Drosophila melanogaster: one gene and its partners. The protein of the gene in region 2 purifies or fractionates together with the protein of the main gene of each other region. This does not show direct contact. Each region holds a gene or a part of one and is shown on either strand. Other genes may lie near its edges. The genes, in order: Sec6, Sec5 and Exo84.

Region 1 (6,327 bases), on a different chromosome or scaffold from region 2:
CCTTACAGCTCGGTGTTTCGAGAATAAAAAGGGACAGTTCATAATCAAGTTCATGGACTCGGATACCAAGCGCGAAGAGCTACACTTCAGTGTGCGTTTCGATGAGAAGGCAGTAGTGCGCAATTCCATGAACAAAAATTTTGAGTAAGTTAACTTTATAATGCCGTACCTCTTTGGGCGTTAACTAATTCTTTTTATAGATTCGGAAGCGAGGAGCGTCATGGAGGTTTCCCCTTCGTCTTTAACCAGCAATTCAAGCTGGCGCTTGCGTTTACGGAACGCGAGGTTTTGACTGCAGTGGACGGTTATAACTTCTTCAGCTACACCTGGCGCACACCTAATGCCATGATGAATCTAGTGGGTTTCAAGGTGACCAGCATAAATGGCCTGGTAGTGCAGATAACTGGTGTGGATCACCTGCAGACGGGGGATCCTACGTGCGCTGGCTTCGAAAAATATTCCCGCCATGATTACGAATGCGTTTAGTAACCATGTTAACCCAACTAATGAAGTCTGAAAATACAAATGTTATCTTAAACTATACAACAAATGGGACTTACATTTCCAGGGGCCGTAACATCGTTACAAAAGTAGCAACCTAATTGATCGCCATTAATGCACTTAAGTCCTTCGATTTCTTGGCCATCGTCGCCTGCTTCCTTACGCGTAGTGCCATGTCGCATTACCAGATAACTGTCAAAGCCTAAAGCTGCGTTGATGACAATCTATAAGGGAAACATTTTAGGTACATCTCTTCTGAAAGGTGAGTATATGATTGTTCCCACTTTTTCCTTTGCCGCTCCAAGCAGGGTGGGCAGCCAGCGGCTTTCGCGCGAATCTGTGAGCAGAAAGATGACATCATGGTCCTGCACAAGCTTTTCGATAACCTTCAAATGCTCCTTCGTCTGGGCTAGAAGCGATTCTCCAATAGTATGCCCAGGCATGGGAATCTCCAGCACATAACCCGCCGTTTCCGCAGACGGATTGATCTCTTTCAATCTCTGAGCAGCTGTAGTCGCCTTCATCCGATTGCCTGCCACAGCATCTGCATGCGTGTAGAGATTCTGACGCACTGGATTAGAGAACCCAACCTTGCCGCTGTCCAAAAGGGTTATGTGCTTAAATCCCCAGGACTACAAAATAAATAAACTATTAGTTATCAGATCAGTTAAATCATTTCGTATAAAAGCACACCAGCAGATTTCTAGCTACAGCGCATCCTAAAGTACCAGCTCCAAAGAGCAGGCATTTTGTTTGGGAGATGATTTCGAGATTGAGATCGGGAACAAGGCGCCACTTCATTAGTTTCAGGTTCAGGTTTACAGAGTTCTCAGCGAGTCTACGGAAAGAAATATTGTTAAATTATAAATAATAAACAAGTTACTTTCAACTGTCGTGGTAGCTAACACTAAGGACACACCTCAATGAACTGATAGTTCTTATCATTTAAGTCTATAGCTATTAACTTACTTGGCTGGATCCATGCTGTCCCTCATGCACACCATTCTTGGCCCCATTTTGCCATTTTTATTTAGCTCCCAGCCCACGAACTTTATATTTTCGCTTTGGCTAAGATCGCAAGCTTCAGTCTGAATCACCTTCCATACAAGGCTGTCATCGATGTTCATTTGTTGATTGTGTCGCAGGCCAAGAAACTTCAATGGTTTTCCAACAAAAGAGGGACTGTAATAGACCGACAACTGTGTGAACTGATATCATAACATTGCTATTCCTACCTACCATTGCTGAAGCAGAAAGGCAGCATAGTTTCGCATTATCCAAGCTGGATGCTCATACTCGCTGGGATCAGCAAAACCAAAATAACAGAACTCAACATTTTTATCGTCAAGGGAACTTAAACTACGGGCTTCGAAAATGTTCTTCTCCACATTAGCATACAGAATGAAGAAGTTCTGTGACTCAGTGGGTAAGGCCTTTAGAGCCATTATATAGCTACTACTATTGGGCAAGTCCCGCAGTTTTTGGACGGCTCCCTGAAGCTTTAAGGTGGGCGTCAGCGGGCACGGAAAGGCGAACCAATAGTAGTAGCTGTGACACTTTAAATCGGCAAAGGAGAGAACAAAGAACCGGGTCAATAGACTGGGATCTCTCAAGGCGCCACCACTGCACATATCAGCCAGCAGTTCCTTGCCCTCATCGGCCAGCAGTTGTAATTTGTCCAGGGCCTTGAACTCTTCGATTGTGTTCTTATTGTAGATGGTGCCTATAGCGGAATGGCTGAATTTTGGAGGCTTTGCCATTCTGGAATGTGGGTGGTCAAGCGCTGGTTTCATCAAACTCGTAGTTTTCAAGCTCACCTGTTGTAGGCCGTGTAGTCTACTTCCAAAAGGCATCCACTTGCATTACGATTTGTGTAGTGTCCAGTAATGGAGCGTTTCGAGTCGGACAGGCGATCGTGGTCGAGCTTAAGCTCCGCTAGCTTGTGCCAGAAAGTGGGCGACACAAAAGATTCCCACGGAGCAAATTGCAAAATTATCTCTTTTTCCGTGCTCATGTTTTGCTTAGGGCGTTGTTTACGTTCAAACGTTTGGCTGCAAATTATAAACAAACAAAGCTCTCGATGGCGATAGACCAATGAGAAGATAACTTATCGATAAGTACAGTTTTCCATACTTAGGTCGAATCCTCTGTTGCTTTGGCAAACTAAAAGATATACTTTAACTTCATAATTTTTTAAGCTTGAAGAATAAAATAAAAATTTTAAGACACAATAAAACTATAATAATTTTAAGAGTAGAATATAGCTTATTGTCAAGTTACACTGTAGTTCTTGGAAGTGAGATTGTCAGCCGCACTGCTATATGGTCACACCAGCACTTCCACTGCTGACGAAGATTGACCAAAACAGAGACTGAAAGTGATCCAAATAAATTGAAGATGGATTTACAGCAGCTGGAGGAGCAGGCTCGCCAGGCAGCGCTCAAGGACATACAGAACATGTTGCAGCGACCAGGTCAACTGGAGAAGGTGGAACAATATCGCCACCGAATCGCCCGGAAGAAGGCATCCGTTGAGGCGCTCCTTAAGACCGGAATGCAAGGACAGCTGGACGGGGTCAGGGTGGGACTTAAGCAGTTGGAGACCTGCATGCAGGACGTGCGCGAGGTAAGGCGTCGAATGGACGAGGTGGAGCGCCTGCTGAGGGGCGTTCCCGAAGTCTACGACGCTTTGGAAGTTGTGCGGGAGGAAAACACAAAGCACTCCCAGTACGCCACCGCCATGGAGAATCTGAAGCACATCTTCAACGTAGATGCCAGCGTACAAAAGACGATGGCGCTGATCGAGGATGATAAGCTGCTTAATGCCCATCAGTGCCTGGCGGATCTGGAGAATTCGCGGGATGATCTTCTCTACGAACTGCACAAGCAGCCCAAGCAGCATGCGTCCGACAAGATCACCCTAAAGCGTCACTTCGAGAAGGTTGACACGGTATCCCAAGAGCTGGAGAAAAAGCTGCGACTCATTCTTAGCCGCACGCTGAACACTCTGCGCAAGAAGCCCACCATCATCGTTACCGCCCTACGCATCATAGAGCGGGAAGAGAAAAACGACCAGTTCGCGTTGCAGCAGCAAAAGGTCACAGGATTCCTGCCGCCTGGAAGACCAAAGGCTTGGCGCCGCATGATCATGGACGTGCTACAACAGTCGGTGATAACGCGCATAGAGGGATCCAAGCTAGAGGAGCGGGCCGATAACAAGATGTGGTTAGTACGAGACCTGGAGATATTGCGTCAAATCATTCTCGAGGATCTGCGCGTTGTGAAGTCCCTTTGTGTGCCCTGCTTCCCGCCGCACTACGACATTTTCGGCGAATATGTCAAGTTCTATCACGAAGGACTTTCTAGCTATGTGAGTAATCGTCAATCATTTAAATTGATTAATGTTTTTATACCACTAATATTTACTAATTCCAGCTTGACAACATTGTGCGCTCGGGCTTGGAGGGCAATGAATATGTATCAATGATGGCTTGGGTTACACACACCTATCCTGGCGTCGAGCTGATGTCCCATCCGGATCTTAATGTGGATGTACACCGACAGATAGGTACTCTGCTGCGTCCGGAACATCTCAAAGCGCTGGAAGATGAATATCTGCAAAATATGCAGAGAAACTTCCAGGAATGGATGACCAAGGCCGCAGAAACGGAGAAGCAGGAGTGGTTTACTGAGACGGTGCCCGATCAGGATGAGGAGTACTACCACACTTCAGCGCCTGTCATCATATTCCAGATGATCGACCAGCATCTGCAGGTGACCAACACAATTCATCAGGAACTGACGTTCAAGGCGTTGGTAATGAGCATTCAGCAGGTGGAGATCTTTGGCCAGACATATCTTAAGAACGTAATCGAGCTGAAGGAACACCATTTTCGCAATCGGGACCAGATCAAATACTTCACTCACTACATCATCACCATCGTGAATAACAGTCAGCAAATGGTTGAACTGGCGCAGCAGATGAAACAACTCTACTGGCCCAAGTCACGTACTGAGCATTATGAGGATTTCGAACGTTTGCTTGCCACATTCCAGCGGATCCGGGCTCATGCCGCAAGTTACTTGCTGGAGGAAGCCTTCCTGGACATGGAGTGTCACTTTAACGACCTATTCACTGCCAAGTGGCTGGCCAGTAACATTGCCGTGGACACCATTTGTGTAACGCTGGACGATTACTTCCAGGACTATAATCACCTGCGACCCAATAACTTCGAGATGGTCATCAACGAGGCCCAGAAGCTGCTGGCCAAGCGCTACATTAGGGCACTGCTATCCAAGCGACTGTCTAAGCCACGGGCCGAGTGCGATGCCATTACGCGAAAAATCAAGACCGAAGCCAAGCGGTTTAAGCTCTTCTTTGAGAAAATCGCGCCGAAGATTTCCCTCAGCGACTCTCCATTGGATCTTATATCCACGCTATCGGCACTGCTTAGCTCGGATATCGAACTGCTCGTCTTGGACCTGCACACCTTGCTGGGCAGCTATCCGTCTCTGAACGAGGACCACCTGGTACGGCTCTTTTACATTCGCAACGATGTGAAGGCGGCCGAGGTGCGCGAGAAGGTGCAGGATGCCATGAAGTCGAAGAAGGCAATGGTCAGCATCGCCAAGCAGGATTGCATCTTCAAGGAGATCGTGTTCAGCGACAAACTGTGGTAGACCTTGGAGTATAGTTCCCAACCCATTCCGCATGTCCCTTTCTGTTCAGTATCGTATTTACTCTTAAGCTGCGATTGTAATATTATTGTGCTTTATCAACAAATAAATTATTGTATAAATAATCGAAGAAGTTCTAAGGAAAGTAAGAATATCCATCGTTTCAATGCATATATGTATCGTTACTTTTGAAGGGTTCCGTTTTCTAGCCGTTTAATAGCTAGAGCTCCATCACTGTCGGCGAATGTAGTGTTGTAACGGTCGAAATATTTAATTACCGGCTAGGCGATAACATCTGGCAGGAGTATATATATTCGCGACGGTCTCTCTCCACGTGTCAGTCAGTTCCCAACGATCCTCCTACCCAGACAAGATGAGCTACAGAGTCCAGCCGAGCGGCTTCGCCACCAAGTCCATCCACTCGGGCCAGAGCCCCGACCAGTGGAAGAGTGCTGCCGTGATTCCGCCGATATCGCTGAGCACCACCTTCAAGCAAGATGCACCGGGCGAGCACAGGGGCTATGAGTACTCCCGCAGTGGAAATCCCACTAGGAACGTGCTGGAGACGTGCTTCGCCGCCTTGGATAATGCCAAATACGGCCTCACGTTCTCATCGGGATTGGGAGCCACCACCGCTGTGCTAACTATGCTGAGCAGCGGCGATCACATCATCATGGGCGACGATGTTTACGGAGGCACCAACCGTTTGATCCGACAGGTTGCCACCCGTCTGGGAATCTCAGCCACCTTTGTGGATCCCACGAAGTTGGATCTAATTAAAAGTTCCATCAAGCCGGAGACCAAGTTGGTGTGGATCGAGTCACCAACTAATCCATTGGTAAAGGTAGCCGACATCGAGGCTATTGCGCAGCTGGTCCATGGAGTACGCGAGGATATCGTCCTGGCCGTCGACAACACCTTCCTGACCTCCTACTTCCAGCGACCCTTGGAGCTGGGCGCTGATCTGGTCTGCTACTCCCTGACCAAGTACATGAACGGTCATACGGATGTGGTCATGGGTGGCATCACCATGAACTCGGAGAAGCTCTACAAAAGCTTGAAGTTCCTGCAGAACGCAGTGGGCATTGTGCCGTCTCCATTCGACTGCTATCAGGTGAACAGAAGTCTTAAGACGCTCTCGCTGCGCATG
Region 2 (6,727 bases):
GCTAAGACATTTTTTTGAATAGGCTAAGACTTTTTTTGAGCATGAATTTTTTTGAGCACGTGAACCTAGGATTAAGAACAACAATTCAAGTAAGCCATATATACCCATATTATATATGCGAACATATAACTATTAAAATATTCAAATAAAAATGAGCATTGCTACTACAGAAAAATGCGCGATTTTCTTTGGGTTTCAAAACCGTTTTCGAACCGTAACACTCTTTGCCTCATGCAAGCTGCTAGTTCATGATTTCTAGAACATCGTTCCTGGGAGTGGAGTGAGTTCCATGAGTGCCTACAATGTGCTGGCCGCTTCCGCTCACTTAAGTCACTCAATCTCAATTCCGAGTTTAATCAGCAGCTCCGCGAGCAGAGTCGCCCTTAGATAAGCGGATCGCCGCCTGCGGCTCATCATTATCTTTTGATTAACGCGCCAGTCGACAGTGCGTGTTTGTTCCGAGTAGAGAACGGAGGCTGGCGCGTTTTCTTCCATTTTCCAACTGATAAGCAGAAGCTCCAGCTAATCCCCGAAAGATGAAGCCGTTGATAGTGGTCGTGCTCGTGGGCCTGATGGCAAGTGGCTGCCACATTGTTCACTCCCAGGAGCCTGGCGATGGTAAGACGAATTCCAGTCTGAGCTCTACCGGAACTAAGCCACTCATTAATGACCTTTGAGCAGCTGTGGAGCAGGAAGCCAGCGAGTCGGATGACGCACTTAAGATCAAAGAGAGTCAGGCCAGCATAGCCGCCCAGGTGGAGGCCATGCTCGTGCACTTTCAGCAGGAGGATCCGCAGGGTCTGCCCGGCGTGCCCGTGCCCGATCCGTTGGAGGTGCCCAATGTGAAGAAGAGCATGGGCATGGCCAATCTGGACATGAAGCAGGTCAAGGCGTATGGCTTGTCCAAGTTCCGCATTGATAAAATGAACCTAGACCTGAAGGAAATGAGAGTAAGTTTTCAAGTTGAATTCGAATTGGCTTGAAGTTTCCACTCCTCTGTCCTGCAGTTCAACGGTGGCCTCCAGCTGGACCAGATGCTGGTCAAGGGCCAGTACACCCTCAGTTCATTCTTTTCGAAAGCCAATGGACCCTTTACAGTAGTCCTGAAGAATGTCTATGCCGAGGCAACCGCCTTCTTGGCCGTCGAACGAGACGGTCAGCTGGCCACGGACCGCATCAAGATCGACATCACATTCTCGGACATGACAATGGACTTCCAGAACCTCGGCCTGGTGGGCAGTGTCTTTCAGAGCGTGGTGAACGGTGCGCCCAACTTGGTCTTCGACGCCATGAAGCCATTTATGCTCCAGGAGGCGGACAAAAAGCTGCGCAGCGAGATCAACGTAATGATCCAGAAAACCTTGGGCGAACGCCGACTGCCCAATTCCATAACGCCGCTGGACAGCGCCATTGCCATGGCACGCAAGATGGTTCGGCAGAAGGGCTTCGATCCGTACCACCTGCCTGATGTCAATCGCACCATGGGCGTGTTCAGTGTCCAGTTAGCACACACCTGGATCAATGGAATCTCTAGCTTCTACCGCGTGGGCAACATAACCGCTGGCATGGCCAACAAAACGGTGTCGGTCGTTCTGCAAATAGGCACCCAGCAGGTGACGGGAGCCGGCCAGTGGGAGGTGGGTGTGGGCATGATGACACGCGTCGGTCACGTACAATTTACGGTTCAGCACATACGCGCCACCGTTGGCCTGAGCCAATCCCTGGACACACGCAAGCGGGCGCAGATCACCGATCTGCAGTTTGACATGGGCAACATACAGGTGCGATGTGACGGAGCGGGAACGCTGGACTACGTCATGGAGTTTGCGGTGAACGTCATTCCCAACCTGCTGCGCTACCAGATCATGGACGCCATCGAGAACCCCATCAAGCAGCGTGTGCAGGAGAAGTTCAACACCATCGATGTGGAGCAGGTCATCAAGACCATGGCTCAGAACAACTTCAACTTTGACCCAAAGCTGTTGGGCTTGTGAGTCGTGGTAGTAAGTAAGAGAGTTATGCAATCGAATAAAGATTTATCCCTAGAACATGGGTAATCACAAGCTACTTAAAGTATACGCTATCTACATGGGCTGCGCCCTGCAGTGGAATGTGCCTAGGGGTCCTTGACACTGAAGCAGAGCAGCTGCAGACGCATGTTCCGCTTGACCCGCTCCAGAATCTCGTCCGCCTTACGCTTCTGCTCGCCACTCAGGGGCGGATTGATGGCCTCCAGCGCTTCCATGAAGTAGTTCCTTTTGCAGATTAGAAGAATTATTGAAATTCATAGGTATTTCATTTAGATCACTCACTTGGCAGTCTCATTGACGTAACCTTCCAGGGAGTCCCTCAATAGACGGATATCCACGTGGGCCTGAATCGCTCCCGTGAAGCTAAAGCGCTGGACACAGCTCATCAGACGGGCCAGCTCTTCGGATATGGTTTGCACAATGGACTCCAGGATGGGTCGCAGCAGTGCCGGTGAAATGCTGTAGATCTCGGAGTAGACACCAACCAAATTATCGCAGCACTCGTGAGCGTAAGGACGCAGCTGGCCGATCTCCATCTCGTGATCCCACTGGAAACGACCCAGATACATGGAGGGCTCGATGGTGCCGACCAGCGGATCGCCCTTATGCTCGACGTACTCCTCCAGAAGATTGGTAAAGAGCTGGTTAACCGTGTAGCGAGCAGTTTCGATTGCCAGCGTGGGCAGCGGGTAACCGTAGCGAACGAAGATGTCACCAAGGCGCGGGAAGAAGATCTTGTTGCAGTACGCATAGTTGGCCAGGCAACAGAGCATGCGCTGCTCCCAGGTCACAGCCGCTGCTCCGCCGCTTCCAGCCACCGAATCTGGCTGCTGGGCATTGGGGAATCCAAGTAGCTGCGACACATTGTGGGTGGGCGTCTCCTCGTCGTGGGAGTGGAAGGCCAGCTCCTCGATCACCGCGCTAAACGCGGATAGGAATTCTTGTAGTCGCTGTGTCACCTCTCTCTGTCCATCCGACTGCGGCTCGAGGAGATTGCCCTCCCGGGTCTCCCTTTGCATGCACACAGATTGCACCTCGTCCAGCGTTTCGATGAGCAATGTTTCCAAGGCGGCGGGTAACAATGTGGCACCTGGATATTCCTCCACGCCCAGTTCCCAGGTCTCCTGGCTGCCCAGCTTTTTGCACCGATCCGTGGCCCGTTTGAAGATAATTGAGAAGCAGAAAAGTCGCACCTCATCGATCAGTTTCTGTATGATGTCCAGCGCTTCCGAGGGCAGATCCAGGCTGATGAGCGTGGCATAGGCTATCCTCGTGAAACGCAGGCACTGCGGAATCCAGGGTAGAAACTGATGTGTTGCCGATGCGGAGCCGATGGGCCAAGCCAAGCCGCTGGACTGACGCAGGGCGCGCTGATCCGTGGCAATGAGAATGGCCAACCTCAAGTAGACACAGAACTTCTCGATGGCGTTCAAAACCATTCGCTTGAAATCCCCTGGCTTGGGATCATGAGGTCCGCGTAGCTCGCCGGTGAAGTATAGCTGGCCCAGACGCCACAAGTCCGGCAGCTGGGAGGCGGCAATGTCGCACAGTTCTTCGCAGAAGTTAACCCGATTGGGCGCCTGGCTGGAATCCCTGTTCTTTGCCTTTTCCTGGGCACCCGAATCCTTGCTGGTGTGCTGATCAAATGTCTGGCGAAATGTCCACTCCAGATATTTGGCTCTGGCCTCGATGGCATCCCAGGCGGGATCGATGTTGCGCAGTTTATCGCCAATGGGAGTTCCGCTCTGCTGCAGTTCCAGACTGATCAGCGCCTTGATGAGCTTCTTCTGTTGCTCCACGCTCTGTGGCATCTTGACCACCTTCTCGTGCAGTTGTTTCCTTATTGACAGAATCCTGTGGTCGACCTCCTCGAGCACCTTGCGGAAAATGGGAATCTCCGTCTTGCCAAAGAGGTTCTTGGCGCGCGAGTAGTCGTTAACCACAATGTCATATTCACCCGCCTTGGCACGTCTGTCCACCGAATTGGGCAGACAGAAGAGGAACTTGTGCCGCGACAGGGCGAACAGAACGGACCGCGTGGAATCCGCCTTCTCTTTGCGCACCAGCACATCCGTGAATATCTTTTGCGATTCGCTAATGGAGTCTATAAGTCGAACAATTTTAGAATTAAATATCTTAATCTATAAACCCCACTCACTCTCTATGGATGTTTCCAAGATATTTAGGGTCTCATTGCCGTGTAGCTTGACATCCTCCTGCAGCTTGTCTCGGATGTTCATCAGCGTATCGAGCTGGTCAATCACCGAGCCTGCATTGGACTTGAGGAAGGACAACTGACCTTCCTTCTGGCTCTCCACTTTCCGCTTCAAGTAGGACAGGCCCGCCTTGAGATCCTCGAAGGAGGTGGCCAGGTGATTTTCAAGCAGGAACCAGGCCGGGGAGAAGTGCTCCTGCGACAGATCCCCGCAGGCTTCGGGAAAGAGATCGCGGAGGTCCTCGGGGATCTTCTGCTCGTTACCCTCGATGGACAGCCCAAGTGGATCCTCCTGCGTCAGTCCGGATTGGGCTAGGGTGCGCCGACCCCAGGCAAAATTCTGCGAGGGCGACTCCTCGATCCACACGGCGGACTCCTTGAGCGGGCCAATGGTCTCGTGGTATGCACGAAACTGAACCGTGGACGTGCCCACTCCGCCGCTTAAAGTGGTCACTATGATATCGCCTTTTCCCTTCGCCGGACCAGTGCGTGCGATGATTTTATTGGGTGATTTCCACTCCGCCGACAGCAGACAATCTGAACCGCAGATTTTTAGACCTTACATTTTTTTTTTTTGGAAGGGAAAGTCATCAGAAAACAGAAGCTATTTGGGACAGGCTACGCCTACCAATTAGATCTTGCACTCGGGTGCCCAGGAACTCGCCGCGAATGATAACGCGGGTGCCAGGAGGACCCTCCTTCGGAGATAGCCCCGTAACCACTGGCTGCGGCGCCATCGTATGCTATATGATGCGGAAAAACTGATCAAAATGCAATAAAAACAATAGAGAACAGAACTTTATTGATGCTGCCAGTGATGGAAAACGTCCCGTCAGTGGTGAAATCTTGGCTAAGTAATCGCCAAGCTAAACAGACAGATATTTAATATAAAACTTATGTAAGAAACGGACGAGCATAAAAAGAGCTTAAAATGTATTAAATCTAAAATTAAAGATTACTTAACATATGATACCATTCAAATAAAGGCAACTTATATCAATCAAGAGTTTTAGTTCTAGCTAAGTCTCCTTGCTGAGCAGCACTGGAAGGCGCAGACCGGTCATCTCTGAACAGCTGATTGATTGTTTCCAAATCCGCCGCAGAAAAATGGATGACGTCGAACGAATTCAGAGCGAGAATGAGAATTTGCGCAAGATTCGCAATCGCCTGATGCAATGGGAGTCCAAAACGGACCCGCTGGCGGCTCTGAGTATCCAGCAAGAGGAGCACCTGGACGTCCTGACCAATCTGTGGCGCGACAGCGGACCATCGGTGAGTCGACTCCTCCTCGAATGGCAATCGTATAATTGCAACCCGACTCTTTGTAGGCACCGGCACCGACTACGCCCACCCAGGTGGGTCCTACCGATTCATCGGCAGCTGCAACTTCGCAAAGCGGCGATGACATCAGACTACCTGCGGAGGGACTCCAGAACACCAATGAGTTTCTGCTTTGGTTCGCGGACGTCAGCGCCGAGATCGAGCAACGTGGCGATGCCGACTACCACAAATACCTGCAGCAGCTGGAGCAGCGCAAAGCGGAGTGCTCCCACATGCTGGACCAGATCGCTGGGGCCATGGAGCGCCTGGGTGCCCTCTGCGACGAGTACGACTTTGTGTCGCAAAAGACCAGCGCTCTGAACACGGCCAGCGAGCAGTTGATCGAGGAGCAGGAGCGACTGCAGGAGCTGAGTCACGAGATTCAACGCCGTCTGCACTACTTCAGCCAGGTGGAGTTGCTCAACCAACGACTTCAGAGCCCCACGCTTTCGGTGGCTAGCGAAGCGTTCCGGGAGTGCCTCAACAAGATCGACGAATGCCTAAACTACATCGAGGAGAATGTGAGCTTGTCTGTTACACTTCGGTCATGTATATACTAATATCCTTCATTGTCACAGCCCAAATTCAAGGATGCGGCCGCCTACAATGTGAAGTACAGGCAGTGCCTGGCCAAAGCCTCGGGTCTGGTGCGTAACTATGTGACGAGTGTGATAAACCAGGCAACCGAGGCCACGCTCCATCCCAAGAACAATATGCCGGATGCCTCCGCTGCTCTCAAGGCACCAGATGCCGCATTCGCTCTGTACTACGGCAAATATCAAACGGCCGCGGCAAAAGTGAAGCGGGTCGCCCAGTTGATTGAGTCCCGGTCGGAACACAGCCTCGACTACGCCCAACTAATGGCGGATCTTCAACAGCACTACTTGGCGCAAAGAGCCAGCGTTATGTCGCCAGCAGTGAATCTGTCCATACAAAACGTTAAGGTGGCCCACAAAGGGGATCACTGCTCTCTCACCCGAAGCGCCTGCGCCTTTTTGGTGCATGTTTGCCAGGACGAACAGCGTTTGTTCTACCAGTTCTTCAGCACAGGAGCGCCACACCTGACGTAATACTCGTACATCTAGTTGGAAAATAGGATTGATCTCATTTTTCCCACAGGGTTTATCTGGAGGGTCTGTGCACCATTCTCTATGACACCATG
Region 3 (6,320 bases), on a different chromosome or scaffold from region 2:
TTCCCACGCAATCAGGATAATCTGGACGGTTGGAACCGCCAGATGTCCGAGAAGGTGGACTTCCAGTTTGTCCTCTTCTTCGACTGCGGCGAGGATGTGTGCGTCAAACGGTGTCTGGGCCGCGGCCAGAGCGGCTCTGGCCGGACGGACGACAACCTGGACAGCCTGAAGAAGCGCATCTCGACATACAACAACGACTCGCTGCCCATCATCAAGTTCTTCGAGGGCGCCGGCCAGGTGAAACGGATCGATGCCAGTCCGGATGCGGAAGAGGTGTTCGGGGAGGTGGAAAAGATATTTGTGGCCAGCGGCTTCTAGATTTCCTGTTCATATTCCGGTTATGTGTGTAGTGCTATCCTTACCTTTCATTTGTACCCTCTAAAAAAATACATATATACGCTTGTTAATAGTAATGCATAAGGTACTTTTTCTTCACCCCGATAAGATACAAGATACACATGAAGTTTAGTATACCCAATCAAGGAAAGCGGAGGTACACACACACTTTTTAATATCGAGTAAAAAATGGAGCTAGGCAAAAGTTATTCTGGAATTATATGTTATCTAAAGCAAATGGATTGAGAACTATTTTAAATGTAGGAACGTTAAAGAGCAATAAACAATAAATTAAATCCCCTGTTCATATTATGACATTTAAAACAAGTTTTCTTATTTATACAAGTGCTATGTGATTTTCATTTTTCAAGTGTTTTACATATTTCTATAGTACCCAATAGTACAAATTTAGGAAAGTACTTCTTTTTATTCAGATAAACACAATTTTGCATTTATAGTTAAAGCTGAATATATGTATATACATATATATATAATTTCATGATTTGGAAATTCCTTTTTCTTATTTTATTGAAGACAGGCATGAAACGTACATATCTTTTAAAATACCGAATATTGTATAGCTCTAAAGTAACAAGTATTGCGAATTTGTTTGTAGCTAGGCTGTGCGATTGCAGCACTACCCAGTTCTTTCCATTATAGCTTGTAAATGCTAATTACTCATCGATTTTTCAAACACGCAGGGAACGAAAATCACAAGCATTCTCTTTAATATAACATTCGCTTCTGGGAGATACAAACGGGTGGTGGCTCTTACATAAAGTGGACAGGCAGTGGTTCTTAGTAGCGGCTCAATCCTTGCGCAGCTTATCCAGGCGCGCCTGAAGATCCGCATCGGCATCGGACATGGGCGATGAGGCACCACTGCCACCGGGAGCTCCCGGACCACCAGCGCCGCCACCACTAGCTCCACCTCCGCCGGCGGCTCCACCGCCGCCAACGCCACCAGCGGCCACAGCCTGTGCTTTCTGAGCGCCAGCGCCGCCGGCTATGGAAAGGGAACCGGAGGCGGAAGGAAGGTCTCCCAGCTGTTCGCCCAATTGCAGACCCAGTTCGTCCAGCACCTGGGACACAACAGCATCCGTCTCCTCCTCGTCGCCCTCGTCCTCCATGGCGTCATCGATGGCATCGTTGATCATCTCCTCCTTCATGTCCATCATTTCCGACTGTTTCTCGAAGTCCTGCAGGATCTTCTGGATTTGCGGGAGATTCAGCTGGCGGTTCATGTTCTGCATGGCCTTCGTGACACCTGGAAGATAAGCATAATTGCTTGATAAGCGGGTGAATCAGCCAAATAGCCAATGTTTACCTTTCATGGCCTGTGCCATTGTGTTCTGCGACTTGAGCGTCTGAATTTTGAGGGACACCGCCTGGATGTTTGCCTTCATCAGCATGAACTTCTTGGCATACCGCCGCGTGCGCACCAGATCCTTGGCCATGATCTTCACGGCATCCATTTGACCCTCCTTGGCCATCTTCTTGATATCCGCGATAATCTTCTTCTCCTGCTGCTCCATTTTCATCCGCTCGCGGTCCAGATCTCGCATCGCTTTGTTGAGCGCCCGCTGATTCTTACGCAGCATCTCATCGGGGCTGATCTTCTTGCCGAATAGCCAGTCCATGTTTAAGGATATCTTAACTGCAAGATTTAATTACGAAGAATGACGGAGTTTCCTAAAGATTACTCATCAACCAAAACAATAAGCGAAGGGTGTGCGCGATTCTAAGGTGGCCAAGACGTGTTGGCGCTTACATGCGAATAGTGCTAGTGGGAAGAAGAAGCTTTGCCGGTGCACTCTGAAAGAACTGTTCACACTTCAACTTAGTGAATTAGCAACAGGTGGAAAATAATTTTAATTTATTACAATACAACACACACACATTGTAATGAATAGTATACATATAGACATATGTCTTCTTGATTTTTAACGTAGATCTTTGACGTAGTCGTTTATATTTAAAAGTTCAGTTCGAATAAAAAGTATTCAGGGCTTCAACGCCTAATCATACCTAAGATGAAAATCCGAAATGTAAATGCGAATAAATTTGTTGATCTCTAAAAGGTCTTTGACGTAGCCGTTCAGTTCGAATAAAACTTTTCATAGGTTTTAAATCTTAATTAATCTCCTATTACTTAAAACTAAATAAAAATGTTCTAGATTTATAGATTTATCTAATACCAGGGAAAACTGCAGTGAAAACATGGCATTTTCTATAGCATCAGCAACCTTACAATCGACACCTCATGATGACGCTCGTTCGTTGTGAATGGCTCTGCGTCAGCTGCAGTTTACATTCCAATCAGAATCATGAAGGAGTTCGACGATTTTAATTTTAGCGTTGAGAAATGTAAGTATTCCTATGTCTATTTAGCATTAATCAGTCTACTAATAAGTACAACGTTCCCAGATACCAAGGACCTGACACGAGAATGTGTGGGTGGCAGCGATTTGCAGCAGCGAAAAAAGGAAATCGAGGCCTACAACGAAACGACGGCAGCAACGCTCAAGCAAACATGCAAAAAGAACTATATGGAGTTTATACAGACGGCCAAGGAGATATCACGTAGTTTACGCCCCCCAATATCAATATACATTTATGTTAATATTTTCGCATCGCAGATCTCGAGTCGGAAATGTATCAACTGTCGCACATTCTGATTGAGCAGCGCAATATTCTGGCCACCATGACGGATGGCAAGACTTCCAGTCACCTGAAGGCAGAGAGTTTGGAGGCGGAGAGCACTACGGCGACGGAGGATCTGGAGAATAGCCATGCCACGCGGGCGGTCAAGGAAATGGTCCAGGGCTTCAATGGCAATCTGGAAGGCAAGACCTTCCTCAACGAGGGAGCTCTAATCGAGTTGGACAGTAATGATTATCGACCCATTCAAAGGGTCTTCTTTTTCCTCTTCAACGATGTACTGATTGTCTGCAAAGTGAAGCATGATAAGTAGGTTTTCCTATACTAAAGCATATAGCAAAAACTAATAGTAATATTTTTCAGGCGCTTGGATTTCCTCACCGAGTACGACCCCAAGAAAATAGCCGTGATTAACATTAAGGACTTGGATGGCGTTAAGAATGCCATTAATATCATTACTCCAGATGGTTCCAAGATCTATCAAAGCATCACGGCTGCTGGGAAGACGGAGTGGATAGAGAAGCTCGAAGAGGCCTTCCGCTTTGACCAGCAAAAGAAACCAAAAAAGGGCCAGGCGCCACAGCCTCCAACTCGGGCCAAACAGCAGTCAAAAGCTTCGACTCCGGAGAAGGAAACCACACCCCAGAGTCCCGGACAGCCCAAATCCCTGGAGGATGAGACGCCCGAGTGGCTAAGCACGGCCAGTGAAGAGATTCAGACCCTGGTGGCCCAACGGCATTTCGAGGATGCCCAGGAGCTGATAAAGCGAACCCAGGACTTCTTGCGAAACGAGAACCGAAAGAAGTTGCCACTAGCGGACGCCATTGAAACCAAGGTGAAGCAGCAGGAGCTGAAGCTGATCAATGTGCTGCTCAAGGAGTTGTCCAACAGTCACAATCGCAATCTGCAGATCGCTCTGAGAGCAGCCAAGCGGCCTCTGAAGATTCTCGTAGAGATGGGTCGCTATCGGCAGGCGAGTGCCACTCTGCTGAAGGTCTGCGCCGTCAGTTTGCGGGTGGCGCAACGGGAGGCGCGCAGGAATAATGCGGATATATCGGAACTCTTCTTTTGTGACCTGACGCAGGTGGCCTGTGATTTTCTCACCGCCTTTGAGAAGCAACCGGCGTGCGTTAGCGGTAAGCTTCATTCCTATTTCTGTCTACATTTAAGTATTACTACTATCTAATTCTTGCAGCGCTCGTGGTTTGGTGCAATGCGGAGCTGCAATATTTTGCCAGCCAACTGATAAAGCATTACCTGACCAAGGGAACCTCCCTGGAGTCAGTGGCCAAATGTGTGGAGCGAGTGCGCAAGCCCTCGACAAAGCTCACAGAGATCGGGCTGGACATTAGTTATCATTTGGAAGGTCTGTTGCGCACTACACTCGAGTCGCTCATAGAGGAATCCAAGGAGCGACTGCTGGACTCCGTGGGTCGCACCGAGGAGAGCTGGCAGCCGTACAATTTGCAGACCAAGTCGAACCTGAAGCGTCTGCTCCTGGAGCTCGATGTCTTGGGTATCGATGTGCGAGCCCAGGCGACGGGCGACACATGGATTAATCTCACCCAGTCGACAGTGGTTTTCATCAGACACTTCCTGCAGCTCACCGAGTACTGCGGCTGTCTGGCCAAGTGCGAAACCCTGCTGCAGAGCCTGGAACTGCTTCTTAAGGAGCTGTTCATTGCCCAGCATTCGTTGAAACCGCCCAGCGACATGGCCGTGGATGTAAGTTAGAAAGCAGCTTAAATAAAACCGCTCTCTTCAAGAATGCCATTTTCAGCCCAACTTTGTAATGAAGAACAAGATTTTTCTGGTGGACAACCTGCTGCCCATCGCCATCGACAAGTTTCGACAGATTTCTGGACGCCAGTGCGAGGGATTGCGCGAGTTGCACACGAAAATGTCCCGCCAGCAAGGTGCTCCAGTGCCGCGCCAGCGCAGCGTCTACACCACAGATGTGTTTTAGATGCACGCCGTGGGATTTACTTTCGATTACATATAATTTTTTATTTTTTCGTTTTGCTTCAATTATTTATAATATAATTATATACATATATAACCACAATAATAATAATATTTGTAAAATTAAAAATCGAAGCGTGTGCTGCACTCTATCTCTTGCTTATTACAATTTCGCCGCTCGCATTATATATATAATTGTAAATATATATAAATCGATTCGTTTTCTGTTTTTCATATATATACTCTAAACACTAAACAATTTAGCTGTGTTCTACTTTTCGGTTTCGGTTGTTGATGCGGCTCTCTCTGTGTTGGGTTTAGCTGCTCAAAATATAGGATTTTACACTTGGTTCTGAAGAGTTGAGTTTGATTCACACAATTAATTCCTCGATTTTCTCATTACACATTTTCTCAAATTACATACAAGCAAAGCGGACTGCTCTGAGCTTCTAACTACTGACCCCCAATGCGAGTGAGTGTTTCGAAAGTGGTTTCCGTGTTTAATTTATAATGTAAAACTCTTAACTAAAATGCTTACTAAGTATATTCATTTATAATTATATATATATATATATATATATACCTTTTATGCAAATGTGTTTTGTGTTTTTCGTATGTTGTGTTTGTGTGTGTGTGGTGTGTGTTTGGAGGGACGTTGGGAGGTAAGGAAACTGACAACTTAAAATTACATTTGTTGTTGCATTCGCTGTCTGACTTTTCAGCTAAATTACAAAAACCGCTCACATAAAACAAACTAAAAGCACTCGCATCGTATTTGTATTTAACTCCTTTTGTTCAGCTGGTAATCATAATCTCAACGCTCCTGCAATTGCAATGACTGACTAATTCCACTTATCCTCCTATTTGTTTTTATGTTAAGATGAACGTAGGTAGGTATCGCCGACTTTTTATGTTTCTGTTTCCGGTTTCATTTTGTTAATTTTACAACATACTCGTTTCTGTTGCTCGCATGCATTATCATTTTATTTCGCTCTGGTTCTCATTTTACTTGAATTCTTCTTTACTTGCAATTTGTGTGTTCAACTTGTTGGTTTGTTTTTATTTATTGGACTTAGCTTAGGCTTAGTAGCTACAAGTACGCTTAAAATTTTAGTTTTCCTTTTTCTTGTATATATATTATAGAATTTTCATTTTTGCTTCGCTTTTTGATGCGTTGCTACTGCCGCCTTTCTGCTTTTCTTTTTTTGTTTTACTGCCGATGCTGCTGCTGTTGTTTTTGTTGTTGTTATTTGCATGATTTCGAACATGTTGTAATAAAAACTATACGAGCTTATTACAAAATGAAAAAACTGCATGGTTTTGTGGATTTAATAAATAACTTCGTAGACAGTAGCCTTCTT

The links.
Region 1: the proteins of Sec5 (region 2) and Sec6 purify together in Drosophila melanogaster (affinity purification with western blotting; 2 studies listed by BioGRID, with this or other methods). This does not show direct contact.
Region 3: the proteins of Sec5 (region 2) and Exo84 purify together in Drosophila melanogaster (affinity purification with western blotting; one study listed by BioGRID). This does not show direct contact.

What each region holds. Positions count from the first base shown.
Region 1 is NT_033778.4:18,622,445-18,628,771, forward strand, and holds Sec6 (secretory 6), read left to right. Parts: upstream 1-2,804; 5' UTR 2,805-2,898; coding exon 2,899-3,870; intron 3,871-3,935; coding exon 3,936-5,180; 3' UTR 5,181-5,274; downstream 5,275-6,327. Other genes in the region: Atg7 (Autophagy-related 7), read right to left, coding at 561-725, 786-1,133, 1,195-1,339, 1,471-1,683, 1,741-2,262, 2,319-2,515; CG5335 (uncharacterized protein), read left to right, coding at 1-144, 201-486; Cth (cystathionine gamma-lyase), read left to right, coding at 5,551-6,327. UniProt on the Drosophila melanogaster protein: Component of the exocyst complex involved in the docking of exocytic vesicles with fusion sites on the plasma membrane.
Region 2 is NT_033779.5:3,455,661-3,462,387, reverse strand, and holds Sec5 (secretory 5), read right to left. Parts: upstream 5,087-6,727; 5' UTR 4,983-5,086; coding exon 4,874-4,982; intron 4,804-4,873; coding exon 4,189-4,803; intron 4,135-4,188; coding exon 2,313-4,134; intron 2,256-2,312; coding exon 2,117-2,255; 3' UTR 2,021-2,116; downstream 1-2,020. Other genes in the region: CG3246 (uncharacterized protein), read left to right, coding at 537-618, 682-950, 1,008-1,994; Cog3 (component of oligomeric golgi complex 3), read left to right, coding at 5,353-5,517, 5,574-6,086, 6,144-6,631, 6,685-6,727. UniProt on the Drosophila melanogaster protein: Component of the exocyst complex involved in the docking of exocytic vesicles with fusion sites on the plasma membrane.
Region 3 is NT_033777.3:26,048,573-26,054,892, reverse strand, and holds Exo84 (exocyst 84), read left to right. Parts: upstream 1-2,635; 5' UTR 2,636-2,663; coding exon 2,664-2,703; intron 2,704-2,763; coding exon 2,764-2,922; intron 2,923-2,975; coding exon 2,976-3,306; intron 3,307-3,360; coding exon 3,361-4,133; intron 4,134-4,192; coding exon 4,193-4,722; intron 4,723-4,777; coding exon 4,778-4,963; 3' UTR 4,964-5,162; downstream 5,163-6,320. Other genes in the region: Cmpk (Cytidine/uridine monophosphate kinase 1), read left to right, coding at 1-318; Vps2 (vacuolar protein sorting 2), read right to left, coding at 1,146-1,603, 1,664-1,976; gro (groucho), read right to left, coding at 6,288-6,320.